2 linked regions of the Canis lupus familiaris genome follow. The protein of the gene in region 1 interacts with the protein of each later gene in a biochemical or structural test. Links are inferred from orthologs where the notes say so. Each region holds a gene or a part of one and is shown on either strand. Other genes may lie near its edges.

Region 1 (4,199 bases):
GGGCTCATCTCACAATTCTAAGATCATGACCTGAACCGAAATCAAAGTCAAAGCTTAACCAACTGAACCACCTAGGTGGGCACCCCATCCTTTGTTTCTTAAATTCCACATATGAGTGAAATCATATGGTATTCATCTTTCTCTGACTGGCTTATTTTGCTTAGCATTATACTCTCTAGCTCCATTCATGTTTTTGCAAATGGCAAGATTTCATTCTTTTTTATGAATAATATAAATATATACATCTTCTTTATTTGTTCATCTATGGATAGACACTTAGGCTGCTTCCATAGTTTGGCTTAGATGGGCTCTTGTTAAAATAAATACATTTAAAAATTAACTTTATATCATAATCAGCATGAATGGCAAATCAGTATCCCTTGCAGTGAAAAATAACAATTAGGGCAGCCCTGGTGGCTCAGCGGTTTAGCGCCGCCTTCAGCCCAGGGTGTGATCCTGGAGACCCAGGATCCAGTCCCACATCAGGCTTCCTGCATGGAGCCTGCTTCTCCCTCCTCCTGTGTCTCTGCCTCTCTCTCTCTCTCTCTCTCTCTCTGTCTCTCATGAATAAATAATAAATAAAATCTTAAAAGAAAAATAACAATTGTTCATATCCACTGGGCACTAGCATTCCCATTTCACCCTTATGATCACCTTGCAGGTAGGTTTTACAGGGAGGAAATTGAAGCGTGAACAGGTTGAGGTAGGGACCTATCCCTTCGGAGCTGGACAGTGGCGGAGCCGGGCTTCAAACCCCTGCAGGCGAACTTCACACACCTCTAGACCGGAAGTAACTAAAAAATAAAGATAAGGAGGGGCGCCTGGGTGGCTCAGTTGGTTAAGCCTCTGCCTTCAGCCGGTCAGAATCCTGGAGTCCTGGGATCCAGCCCCGCATAGGGCTGCCCGCTCAGCGGGAAGCCTGCTTCTCTGTCTCCTTCTGCCCCTTCCCACTCGTGCGGGAGCTTGCTCTCTCACTGTCTCTCAAATAAATAAAATCTAAAAAATAAAAATAAAAACAAAGAAAAGCCAACTAGGTAAATAAATCTAGCCGGATCCTTCACCACTGGACCCAGAGCTGCGTGGGGTTAAAGGGAAAAGAGAGGGTCGGGGAGAGCAGCCACACGCTGAGATGCTGAGATCCGGGGGATGGAAGGGGCCAGCGCAAGTGGGGACGGACCCCCTCCCCCCCCGCCGCCGCCCTGCTCCCTCGCCGTCGCCCGCTCCGCGCCCAGGGGCGCCGGGCACCTGCGGGAAGGGCGGGGAATCGCGGCTCCCTCCCCGCCGCGCCTCTCCGCCCTCTCCCCGCCTCCTTCCCCGCCGACCCGAAGTCGCCCCCCCACCCGACGTCCAAGACCCCGCAGGCTTTGACGCCCCAGAGCCAAGGTCCCCCCAACGGCGGCCGCGGGCGCCCCATAGCGAAAGTTAGGTGGGAGCCGCCCCCGGCCGGGCCGCGGAGGGTTGCTCTGGGGGTTTCCGGGAAGCTCTGCGCACGGGGGCACCCCTGTGCCCGGAGCCACTGCGGTGCCCCGGGCATCCCCGCCCCGCGGCCGGAGCTACGAGGCTGCGCGGGGGCCGAGGTGAGCGCGCGGCCGGGGGGGCTGCCCATCCACCTCCAGTGCAGGCAGGGAGGCGCCGGGCCTCGAACCCGGGCTGAGGTTCCCGGCGGCTCCGACCACGCGGCCGGGCGCGCCGCAGTGACGGGCCCGAGTGGTCGCCCCGCCGGGGCTGCGCAGCTCCGAGACCCGCGGCGGCGGGGGGGGGCGGGGCGGGGCGGGGCGGGGGGCGCGGCGCATCCGTCAGCCCCGCCGCCGCCGGAGGCCCGGGCCGCGGGGACTCTTATTCTGACACGGCCGGCGCCCGGCTCTGCTTAGTCATGGTGACCTGCGCGCGCTCCGCGCCTCCCCCCGGCGCGCAGCGATGGAGGCGCCCGGGCCTGGGCGACGGAGGCGGAGCTCGAGCGCGGCCATGGCGGGGTGAGTGAGGCGGCCTGCGCCCGGGCTGTGGGTACGGCGGGCCGGGACGGCCCCGGGGGTCGGGGGACGGGGCGCCGCGGGCCCGGGCGCCTTGGGGTTCCCGCGGCCCCGCGGGGGGCCAGGAGGGCGAGGCCCGAGTCCTGGCCTTTTGTTGGACGGCGCGACTCGAGGGCTGGCCCGGGGGCTACGCAAGCCGGCGAGAGGCCCAGGCAGCGCCCCGCGACCGAGGGCCCCGGAGCCCGGCGCGCCGGGGAGCTGGGAGCGCGCCTCGGGGCTGCCAGCGGAAAGGCCGCGGCAGGGTCACTTCCTCCCTTCTCCGGGCCTCGCTGGCGGCTCGGGCAGGGCATGCGCAGTCCCCCCACCGCTCGGTGGGGAAGAGCCCGGTGTCCAAGGGGCACCGTCGGCCGCCTGGCCGGAGACCAAGAGGCTGGGCACGGGCCTCGGGCGGGGAGAGGCGGCGAGCGGCCCTGGGCCCGGTGGAGGAGGGTGCTCCGGCAGGCAGTGAGGCGGGCAGCCGGCCAGCCAGCCACCGCGTCCTGACCCCTGAGCAGTGCCAGGCCCCAGGCAGGACGTTGGGGAGGCACATGCTAGGGTGGGCGCGACCCTGACCGACCCGGGGCTCCCTGCCTCCCGAAGCGCGGGGCTGAGAGGCGGAGGCGCCCGCCCGCCCTCAACAAGCCAGCGGCCGAGCTCATCGCCGTTTCCGACAAGTGCGGTGGTAGAAGTAAGACAGGGAGGAGAGGACTGCGCTGGGTCCGGGAAAGATAAAGGGAGAACCCGGGGAGCCTCTTGCAGATGCCCCTCTTCTCCCGACAGGACCTTTCAAAACAGCTCGTGCCCTGGCCCTCCAGCCTCCTCAGGGTTCACGGAAACCTTCCCTTTAGCAGGATTTCTTGTTACACTCCTCCCTGATGCTCCAGCTGGTCTCTCTCGCTCTGCCTCCGAGCCTTTGCACTTGCTATTCCCTCTGCCTGGAAAACCCCTTCCGTGTGTGCATCCTTCTTGTCTCCGCTCTAACAGAGCCCCCGACTACCCGATTTAAAGTAACTGCCCCAGGCCACACTGTCGCAGTGCTGTGGTCCTTTTCTTCATAACCCCCCGTTCCTACTCAGGTCTTGTTTGTTTTACTTATGGCCCATCCCTCGCCAAGTGTCCTCCAGGGGGGCACAGTTTATGTCTGCCTGTCTCCACTGGGATGTCTCCGGTTCCTGGTACACAGTAAATAATCAGTAAATGTTGGTGAGGCCAATGAAAGAATGAGCTAGATGTGCTCTGTCTAGGAAGGGAAGAGGTGGACAGAGGCGGACTGTGTAGGGCTTTAGTAGGACACTGAAGAGTTTGGTTTCACTCATTGTGCTGTAGGGAATTGTGGGAGGATTCGGCACAAGGGAAAGACATCATCTCACCTGTGTTTTAAATTGGACTCTTGGGCTGGTGAAGCCATGTGGCGCTGAGTGAGCACAGACGGACATTGCTTCACCTGGGCTTGGGAAGGAAAACTGGTCTAGGAGTCGTTTTATCGTAAAAGAGGAGGCCTGCCCCCAGGCCCTGCCCCCAGCCCTGTGCTCTCCCTCCTCCAGGCCTCTGAGTGCCAGTGGTGGTGTTGTCCCTTGTCACCTGGAACCCCATGCAGCCGGAACCTGGGCCTAGCGGGGCTGGGGCCCGCACTCGATTCCTTCCCCTGAGGTCACAGCGCCCCGAGGGGGCAGGGGACACGGTGATGTACGCCTCCACCGAGTGCAAAGCCGAGGTGACGCCCTCCCAGCACGGCAACCGCACCTTCAGCTACACGCTGGAGGACCACACCAAGCAGGCCTTCGGCATCATGAACGAGCTGCGGCTCAGCCAGCAGCTGTGTGACGTCACGCTGCAGGTCAAATACGAGGACGCGCCAGCTGCCCAGTTCATGGCTCACAAGGTGGTGCTGGCCTCATCCAGCCCCGTCTTCAAGGCCATGTTCACCAATGGGCTACGGGAGCAGGGCATGGAGGTGGTGTCCATTGAGGGCATCCACCCCAAGGTCATGGAGCGCCTAATTGAGTTTGCCTACACGGCCTCCATCTCCATGGGTGAGAAGTGCGTGCTCCACGTGATGAATGGCGCCGTCATGTACCAGATCGACAGCGTCGTCCGTGCCTGCAGTGACTTCCTCGTGCAGCAGCTGGACCCCAGCAATGCCATTGGCATTGCCAACTTCGCTGAACAGATCGGCTGCGCTGAGCTGCA
Region 2 (10,263 bases), on another chromosome or scaffold:
TCTGAAGCCCACAGCCAAGGTACACTCTCAAAACCATTTGTTCAGGGCCTGAAGGAAAGGCTACCTGTCTTCACACACTTTCGTGTAGAGACTGCAGGCAGGGGTAACACAAGCAACCTCTGCAACCACCTCTCCCCTAACTTGCAGCCTTACCATTAAGGAGCACATCCTCTCAAGGGAGTATCCCATAACCTCTAGATGTAGCACAGACCCCCAAAATGAGCCCTCTTGCCTTGGCTCCCATTTGCCCACCACCAGCCCCTCAAATAAGTTAGCATACATAGCCAAGGGCAATTCATTCTGGCAGGCCTCAGACTGTCTGTTCATCTCTCTCAAAGGGATCCTTCTTAATCTTATAGTCACTATACCTAATACAGAGCAGGATTTCAAATAACGTTGGTTCAATTGAAATCTAATTCAGCTAGAGTTTGTCAGTCCAGAACTAAAATGCTAACTTCACCCCTTACAAGTGGTAGGGTTTGAGAAATTGGCCTAACCTCTCTGAGACTTAAACACCTTATCTAGAAAATGAAGAAAATGCTACCTATCGTGCAGGATTGCTGTAAGAATCAGAGATTATAAATCAATAGGGTAGTTACTTAAGCAGATATTCAATAAAAGACCCTTGTGCTAGGGCCTCTTGCAGCCGCCTTCTCCACTCTAGCTCCTCAGCTGCCAGCCCATGTCCTCTGAGGTTGACACAAGTCTCTTAGCTGAGTTCCCTCTGCTTCTTCCCTGCCACAACTCTAAAATCCCACCTTTCCCTCCCCATATTCATCTTCTTCACACTCTTGCCAGATTCATTTTTACAACCCTGATTTCAATGCAGCACTCCTCTACTTACCAAATTATTCCACACTGCCTATAGGATCAGAGTCAAACCCCTTTTCCTGACCTTCAGGACTCACTCACATTGCATGCCTCCTGCTGTTTTCCTAGCCACACTTCTCTACTCTTTAGCCCTCAACACATAGGGACTTCTATAGTCTGGAAGGTATGGTCACCAGGACATCATTTCTTCCTAGAAATTGGCTTTCCTGGTAAGCCTTCTTGATGCTCCACCTTCTCCTCAGGCTGTTGAGATTCCCTGCCCAGCTTGCCTGGAATGATGGGGGCTCTAGGAGCCAAGCCATCTATTTGCTACTCCCTTCTCAGGGTCCCAAACTTCCTAGAGAGGAATATATCTGAGGTGGGTGCCTTGCCTGCATAGTAAGGCTTCTATGTCAGCACTAACCCAGCAAGAGTGGCATCAAAGACAGGTACCACCTCCCCCCACCAAGTTGAGATGAAGAATAAGAGGAGCTAACTCCAAGGAAACAGATGTGACAAGGTAGCCAATTAAAGCCTGAAGAGGAACAGCTGGGCCAAATGAACAATGGAGACCCTGAACTTACCCATGTATCCACTGCCCTGTATGTAATATACTCTATATGAGAGACCAGGTAAGGAAATTGAGGCTTGGGAGGGGATCAGAATCAGTGTACTCAGAGGAAGAAATCTTGAATTGAGGGCCAGGATCTTTGTGCTCCTTTGTAAACTTGAGCAAATCCCTTCCCTATTCATGGCCTCAGTTTCCATATCTAGAAATGGGAGATTGAGCTAGGAGTCTGCTTGCCCCAGATTGTGTGCGAAGCCAGGAGAAGGATAGTCCTGTGCCCAGTTTTCCAGTGGCTGCAGAAAGAGGAGCCATGGTTGGGGCATGTGATTTTGGGGGTCCTAGGCTTCAGTGGAAGGCCTACATGCCTAGCCAATAGGGCTCAGTCCACCACTGTACTACAGCCCAGCCTCACTTCTCATGCCTCCCTCCACTGAACCCCACCAAACATTTTACTTTTTCAAAAAGCACTAGGCCTGGCCTGCAAATATTCCCCATATGTCCAGAGGGGAAGGGTATCATAACTGGGCCAGCCCAGCCTCTCTCCACTGAGTACCCCCAAGCAGGGAGGACTGACGAGTGCTGGATGGAGAAGTTGAGTTAGTATCTGCTTGGAAGCCTAGCAGGGAAAAAATCCTGTAGGAGATGAAAGCACTGAAGGTTCTGCAACGAGAACTGCAGATCAAAAAGTCCCAAATGCCCCTGTAACACCAGTATATCTCTACCTGTGCTGCCACCAAGACTCCTCATATTATTTTCTTCATTGTCTATATTATCCCCTAATCCCAAAAGGGGAGGTGTGGGGAAGCAATGCACCCTCACTCAGACGGCACCTACACCTCCTCAGTGGCTCTGGTTTCCCTAACTTTATTCCTAGAGATAGACTTACACATGCACAGGTTTGAACAATAAGACCAAGGAGAGGAGGTGAAAAGCTCTGACTATCTAATTCAGAGAACAGAAGTTGGGAGTAGGAAAGACAGTTTAATGCCCATGAAATCTCCAATGGTTTGTTAAGCAGGAGCAATGATGGCCAGCTGCCCCCAACTTCATCCCCCAACTCTCTCTCTCTCTCTCTCTCTCTCTCACACACACACACACACACACACACACACACACACACGCTCACATGCACGCAAGCATGCACACACAGTTTATGTATGGCATGAAAGGCTCAGATTAGCCCTAAGAAGTTCCTGGCAGTGTGAGATGTGTGGCTGAGGAATGAGTGACACAAGGAGGAAATGCCTCCTCTGGAGCCTTTACATTTATCACTTAGTTTATTTGCCTGGACTGATTCAAGGCAGGGGAACTGATGGAATAACACAGGACATGCCTTCTTCTAGCCTAGAGTAGCCTATCTGTGAGGGAGCTGGAAGCCCCTCTGCCGTGGCAGCCTATCCCTAAATGCTGTGTGGCCTTAAGGAAGTCCCTGTTGCTTTCCAGGATCAGAATTTCCATCTCATAAGCACAGGAGTCCAAACTGGTACTCCCTGAAGGTCTGTCCATTTGGAAGGATGGAGATCATCAGAGGCCTGCGAGATATTTAGCCTCCACCATATTGGTATGCAGGCTCTAGGCACCCTCCTTCAACTTCATCCCCTGCAAAGCTTAAGGGAAGCCAACATGGCACAAGTTCCTCCAGAGAAAGCTGCCCTTTGGTTCTATGTCCAGATTCAAAGATGACCTCTTACAGTTCCGACTTACAGCATGCTTTCAATCTCTAAGACCTCTTTCTAAAATCCCGTATTATGGCATATTTGTATATACACATAGAAGTATCAAAACCTCCCAATTTTCCATTCTTCAATGGCCCTTTCTTCCATTCTCCCAAGATCAAGATGCCCATTCCACAGCCTGACATTTGGGAATACCCATCACTGGGCACCAATCTCCTCTCTACCTTAAATGCAACAATCTCAACCTGAAGTCACATCTTTCAGCTTGGTTACCAGCCACACCCTCACATTCCTAATTTTGCTTATACTACTACCCTATACCTAGCCAAATCCCTCTAATTTCTGGAAGCTTCCAGGGTGATCTCTCTGCATATACAGATTTCTTCTCTCTCTCCACAGTAGTTTGCCTCTAGGCTCATGAATCAGCAACCAAAGATATGTGTAGTCTGGGGTCTAGGCAGTATAGATCTTGAGCTTGCTGTTGAAGGGAGACATGATTTATTTTGTTCTTATAGTTGCAACCCATCACCCTTCTCCATTCTCATTAGGTATACTCAATAAATATCTGAGCCTTGAGTATCATTTCTCTAATCACTTTCATATGGATCAGGACAAGTGTAACTTGGAGAAGATCTTCTTGAAATATCCACAAGGACAGCAAGTCCTTCTGGAGCATTCATGAATTGTTATGCATTGCTAGGCTTTGAGGGGGTTGTGGCTGAGTTCAAGGTTTCATTTACCCTTCTGTGGGTAAATGATCCATGATATCATGAAGACAAAGTAGAGGCAGGGAGACCTAATTATAGTTTGTCTCCTATTATAATTTAGGCTCCTAAGTGGCCAAAGGATGCAGGCAAGCCTGGAGGAGTTCTGAGAAAGAAGAGGTCATTACGGGTTGCAAGAGACAGGCGGAAAAGATACGCAGGAGAAGTTGGGCCCAGAGCTAAGGCCTGAGAGGGAAAAGCATTTGGGCAGTGGTTTGGGTGTAAGGAGGGGAGTTATATATGGAAGAAATAGGTGGCTGTTGGTTTGAGGCAGGGCAGAAAAGCAGGTCTAGCCCTGAGTTGCAGCCCTAGCTGCAGAGGGTTGGTTTCTGTTAGTGTCTGGTCAAAGTGGCAAGAAGTGACTATTGTGCATTATCTGCAGTCCTGGCTGGGTCACAAAGGTCCCCAGCTAGCCTTCCCCCAGGTGAGGGATTTACTCCTCTCAAATACCCAGTTTTTGCAGCCCACAGGGTTCGCCACCTCAGAGACTGGTTAAAGGTCCAAGAGCCTGCCAGCCGCTTGGTCACTTTGTCTCTCCTGTTCTTGGGAAGGCCTAGAGTGTATTGCCAGAAGAAAACCATGGGACAGTGACTGAGAGGTGGATGAGGATGAATGTGAGAAGCTGTAATGGCCGGGAGAGGGCTCTGCTAAAATGCCCTCAGGTGGGGCAGGGAGTCTAATAGCACAGTACCCTCCACCTAGCCCATATCCATGCCTGTGCAGCAGGCCAGCAGAGTGACAGAGGTAAATGTTTGTGTGCAGGAGGAGACTCCCCTTGACCATGTGGGCCATGACAAGATGAGCCTGACCAAACCGAGGCCAGCTCTGTGGGGCTAGTTCAGCTGCTACCTGGGCACCTGGACTGTGGATCACATGGAGGCCACAGCCTGTCTTTGCCAGGGAGCCTAGGCAAAGTCCTGCAGTCAGGTGGTCACCTGTGTCAGAGGTGTCAGCGGTAGACAATGACAGCAGCTCAGCAGGCTGGGTATTTTAAGTAACTGCGAAGTTGGAGGGTTTGGCTGTCTCTCTACCTCTCTCACACAGACACAAACAGTGTGTTCTCTACTACAATAATTGCTCCTTCGGCCTCTGGCACAGAAATCCCCCCACCAACACGATGCTTATCACTATTTTTAAATGAGGGGCAGAAGAGAAAAAAGCGGCCTGTGTTCTCCAAGGGGAGAAGAGGCGGGTTGAGAGGGGACAAAGCGGCCTTGCAGATCTAACCCAAGGACTAGCTTGAGCTGCAGCCCCAGCCTAAGGTCCAGCAAGAACTCCGTTGCCAGTCTGCCTTTCCGCGGGGGCGGGCGCAAGATGTGCCTGGAGGCCCAGGAGCAGGGGGTGAGGCTGGTTGGGGCCCACAAGGCCGAGGTTCCTAAGTGGACAGCCCACAGGCCCAACTGAGCTTTCTGGGAGAGAAGGCCGACAGTGTGGATAGCCCAATCCACGCCAAAGCTAGTATCCATTGGGCCCAGGCCAGCGCGCTGGCTCCATCCCACAGAGTGGAGAAGCAGGCAGGGGATGTGCAGGGGAGAAGGGGCGGCAGCTGGGCCTCTGGGGTGAGCAATACCCACGTAACACAGCTGTTGCAGCTAATGTGCTACAACAAAGCTGCGGAGCTCCGGAGCTCCCGGCCTACAAATGCACCGCTGGGGGTGCTGGCTGGCGGCTCCCCCCCCTGGGCCCCTGCGGTAGCACGTGTGGGCCCCATCCCCGCCTGCCCCGAGAGCCTGGAGGAATGGCCCAGGCTAGCCTGCTAGCCTACCCGCCCTCTACGCCCTCTCTAGCCGCGGTCGCCCGCTCCCAGAGGACTTTGCTTTTCCCCTCACCAGCCAGTCCTCAAAGCTGGTTCCCCGGGAGAACGGAGAGCGGCCCGAACGCCCACTGGCCCAGCTCTTGGAGCCGCTCTTCAGGGTGCCAGAGCGGAGCACGCGGGACTGCACCGGACTGCTGGCAGGCGGAGGCTCCCGGCTGCGCGCAACGCTTACCCGGCCGAGTCTGGTTTCCAGCCCGGTTATTGTCTGCTGCGCCGCACTGGCCCAGGCTGGAGCCTAGGCTGCTGTGGCTGAGATCACCGCCACTGCTGCTCCCGCCGCCGCCACCGCGGTTCCAGTCACCTCCTGCACTGGCTCCCCTTCCCCAGGCTTGGGGGAGCTCCCCCATACCCCCTCCCCAACGACTCCACAGACACAGGGTGGGGCGTCCGCGCCCTGATTGGCAGACGTGTGGCCCAATCGCCACTGTAGGAAGGCGTGTCCTGACCCGCCCACTGTTTTCCTTGGTGCCTTTTCCTTTAAATGCAAATAAGCACGGGCGTGGTGTGGGCAGAAGGCGGAGAGGGTGAAGAACCCCTTGCTGGGACTCCCTATTCCCGCCCCCACACTTGGCGGGTCTGGGCTTGGCTACCCAGCGAGCTCGCTGTGCCGGTCCCGCCCAGATGGGGCTCGCTGGAACCCTGGAGTTCGGTTTCGGTTTTGCATTAAGCTCCCATTTCCGTGGACTCTGTGCAATCGTTCTGAGGCGACCTGACCGCCACCCGGCAGTTTATTCTTCTAGAAGGAGAGGCCGGGCGGAGAAGCTGGAGAACCTGGGGGACTGCGAAGACCCTTGACACCTCACCAGGCCCAACCTTAGGTGGCACCCGCCCTCAGGCCACTCAGAGGGGGGACTCACCTGCCAGGAAATCTAATTGTAGCGTCCATGCCCCAGCTTCTTTGGCTTCTCAGGCACACCAAGAGCCCATCGAGGTCAGTTTGCACCTAAGGGCCTGCTGTTGCTCAGAAAAGGGAAGGCACTTTTCTGAGATCACCTAGCCTGCCAGCGACGGGGCAGATTTGGGATTCAGAACCCCAGGCTCCTGTCCTACACTGCTTTCAGTTTTCTCTGGAGAGACCTGTTCCTGTAGTTTGACCCTCACCCAAATTTCCCATCTTTCATGCAACAAGAGGGGATCTCCAAGGACTCTAGAGGGGTCCTCAACCTTTTCATGGTAAGCCAGGCTTTGTACATTTCCCTGTCCCTGAAAAGTCTACAAATTGAGGGAAAAATCTTGTGTGGGCCCAGATTGGAGGTCAAGGCTGAGGGTGGAGTGAGGAAGCCTGTACCAGCCCAGCTGGCTTCTGTGTTTGGGATGTGGCAGGTGGCCAGCCTGAGCTTGGGTCTTAACCAGCCTGAGGGCAGTAGGGGGCTGCCAAGGACTAGTGAGATGAGGCAATAAGGAATCCAGTTCTACCACTAGCTCAAGAATATCCAGAAAGCCCTACCCTAAAACTCTGAATATCTGAAAAGGGTGAGGGGATTAAAGTTGGAGAGAGAGAAGGGATTAGAGAACAATGCCTACTATTTTTGCATTGCAGCAGGAGTGTTCTCTGCTACTCTAGAGGGTCCTGTATGCCTTGAAAAGATCTAACTGCTAGAGTGGAAAGAGGAGGACTGTTGCCTCTGCATGTGTGGAATACAGGAACTTCCATGGCTGTTAGGGCTGGGATCTGGCTCCAGCTCTACCTCAGATTTGCTGTATCACGTTGGCCAGTCCATTTTCCTCTCTGGGACAGTTTATCACCTCATCTCCACAAGCAAGGTATAAGATTGACCGAGTTCCTTGATCTCTTCCAACTTCCATGACATTCTATACATCTCCAACAAAAATCAGTAACTTGAACATCAGACCTCCTAATTTGGTCCTGAGTCTGGATAAATGGCAGGGAGTAGGGAGCCACCTACTATAACTTACAGGCCCCTGTAACTTTGTTGGGTGGGTACTTTCTCCTCCCTAGCCTTAGTTTTCCCATATGGGTGGCTGAACTATAATATTTCCCTGGAGCTGTGCTTTGTAAAGTCCTGATTCTCATTTGTTGGATCTGAATTGGAGATGTCTTTTTTTCAGCACCTCCTCCATAGTCTTCTGCAACTCCCTTGTGCCTCTAGTTGCCTGCCATTTGTTCATGTTTCACCCAAAACCTTGATTTTCTGAAGTAGGCCAAATATTACAATTTGAGGAAGACAGTTTCCAAATCTTGAGCCAAGGGCAAAACAGGGACAGGGCAGTCTCAGCTATGGGAATAGGGAGATAGTAATTGTGCAAACAGTCCAGTGATGGGCTTGAAATAATTGTGAGGTAAGGAGGTACTGCTGTGCTACTCCTGTTACAGGAGGTAGTCTTCCATGTCCTCTTCCCAGCTACCAAACATTCTGCCATACCAGTTAGCCTTGAAAGTTGGACTGGGTCCAAAAGATAAAGGGTTTTAGAAAAACAAAAGTAGTCTTTGACATGCTAAATTGGTCTCCCAGCTGTGTGCCCTTCTTCTTGGTCTTGATATTTCTAAGTCTCAGGATGATATTGTATATGTGTACATTAAGGAGGAGAGGGTGGTGATGAGGTGGCACAGCTCTTGACTTGTATGATTCACTCCTCACCAGAGACATTGTATGGAACGACCAAGTATTGGCATAAACTTGTAACTCAAAATGCCTTCTCAAAGAGGGAGTCCTCCAGGCCCCACTTCCACATGCTGACTGACACATGATCAGCTTGTTTGATCACTATAGGGGCTGGTCATGGGAGAGCAAGAATACTTTAAGTTTCTTCACCTACAAAATGGGGATAATACCTCTGCTGCTTGGTGTAATGTAGTGTGGAGGCCGAGAAAAATTAAGGCCATCCCACCTAAAGTTTAGCATTAGCACAAGTACAGCCATCTTAGGCCCCTGTGAATAAGAGCTGAACTTTACGGGGGGGGGGGGGGGGGGGGGACTGCAGAATGTCCTCAATGTCCTTGGCAGGGAATCCCATATCAGAAAGACAACAGAGCTCAGAATTGCCCTGGGCAGAGAATCCCATATCAGAAAGACAACAGAGCCCACGCCTGTGGTAGAAATTCCCATATTAGAATGATAACAGAGCTCAATGCCCTTGAAAGCCCCATATCAGAATGTAAACAGAACTTGAGAAATTCCTCCACCCCTTCTGAAAATCCCCTAGACCAGCCTATAAAAAACCCAGCTGTAACCCACTTCGGGGTCCAAGTCCCTGCTCCCCTGTGTCGGGTATACTTGGACCCAAGCTTGAGCTTGCTAATAAACCCTCGTGCGCTTGCATCGGTGTCGGCTCCTTGGTGGTTTCTCGGATTCACAATCTTGGGCACAACAGTAGCTGCAGTGAAAAGCTTATAAGAACAGATGAGCAGGCTGTGTGGAGGCAATTTCATAATAAACTCTGGTAGACAGACTGGTCCACATGAATACAGTGCTTCTTTCTTTCCTTACTAAATGTTTCATAGGTACCTCCTCTATGCCAGGCCTGGTGATAAGCATTGGGAAGAGGGGGGTACAGTGGTAACATTCTGGGAGAATGGGCACTCTGTGGATGGAGTTCTGAGAGGAGCTGAATGCTAGTCTGGCAAAGGTGATCTGGAGCATTGTAGATGAAGAGCGTCCTATCCCCAAGGGTGGAGAGGGGCATCAGATAAATGTTCCCCTGAAGGGATGACCTTGATGATTTTGTCAAGTCATGAAATTAGGGAAAAGATTCCTGCCCAATCCAAAACCCATCAATATTAGAGGATGTAGTAGGCTGGGCAAGAGCTAGGACTCTGGACACCTGGGGATGGTGCATATTGGTATAGGGGGAGAGAAAGAACTGAAAATTGGGGCTAAAAAAGGTAGGTCTGGAGCCAGTGTATGAGACCGTGACTGGCTAAAAGACTGAGGCTCAGCTAAGCTAAGTTTATCTTTCTCAGGGAAGCAAGTGTAGTGACTTTGCTACCAGCCTGCCTGAGCTGGGATGCTGGCCCCATCACTTAGGGGTGATGTGATCTAGACAAGTTATTCCACCTTTCTGAGTCTCAGTTTTCTCTTCTGCAAAATAGGAATAATAGTACCCATATCACAGAGCTGAGGTAAAAATTAAGTATTTCATATAAGTATTTAGCACAGAGCCTGATACATCCAAAGCCCTCAATAAATGCTAGCCACTGCTACTGTTATTATTATTGTTGGTCTCCTAATCCAATGTACACATCTTCAGAGTTATAGAACTTATGACTTTGAAGCCACTTTTTGATATGAACACACATGAGTCTATGATTTTTTTTGAGTCTATGATTTCTTATACACAACTTTTGATTGTACAGAGTCAGACCAAATTTCTTAGAGGATCTCTTTGATCATCTTTGTATCCTTAACACCCAACAGAGAGTTTAGCACAAGCTTAATGCTCACCCTATGTTTGTTGAACACAGCAAAGTGAGGCATCTTCAGGTCTAATATTAAGCTTAGTTGCCAGTATCCACCAGAGTGGTGTTGCCACTTTCTAAGCACCACTGTGTCAGGCTCTGTGTTTGGATAATGGTAAACTAGATACAGATCCTGGCCTTAGCACAGCCAATATAGTGGAAGAGGCACATGATATCAGACCAAAGCCCTGTTGTTTCTGACTTAGGCAAGA

The links.
Region 2: the proteins of KEAP1 (region 1) and AMER1 form a complex in vitro, tested with the Homo sapiens proteins (2 studies listed by BioGRID). The link is inferred for Canis lupus familiaris from reciprocal best matches to the Homo sapiens genes KEAP1 and AMER1.

What each region holds. Positions count from the first base shown.
Region 1 is NC_049241.1:51,048,492-51,052,690, forward strand, and holds the start of KEAP1 (kelch-like ECH-associated protein 1), read left to right. Parts: upstream 1-1,399; 5' UTR 1,400-1,577; intron 1,578-1,816; exon of another isoform or gene 1,817-1,973; intron 1,974-3,553; 5' UTR 3,554-3,600; coding exon 3,601-4,199. UniProt on the Homo sapiens protein: Substrate-specific adapter of a BCR (BTB-CUL3-RBX1) E3 ubiquitin ligase complex that regulates the response to oxidative stress by targeting NFE2L2/NRF2 for ubiquitination.
Region 2 is NC_049260.1:49,175,981-49,186,243, forward strand, and holds the start of AMER1 (APC membrane recruitment protein 1), read right to left. Parts: upstream 6,000-10,263; 5' UTR 5,807-5,999; intron 1-5,806. UniProt on the Homo sapiens protein: Regulator of the canonical Wnt signaling pathway.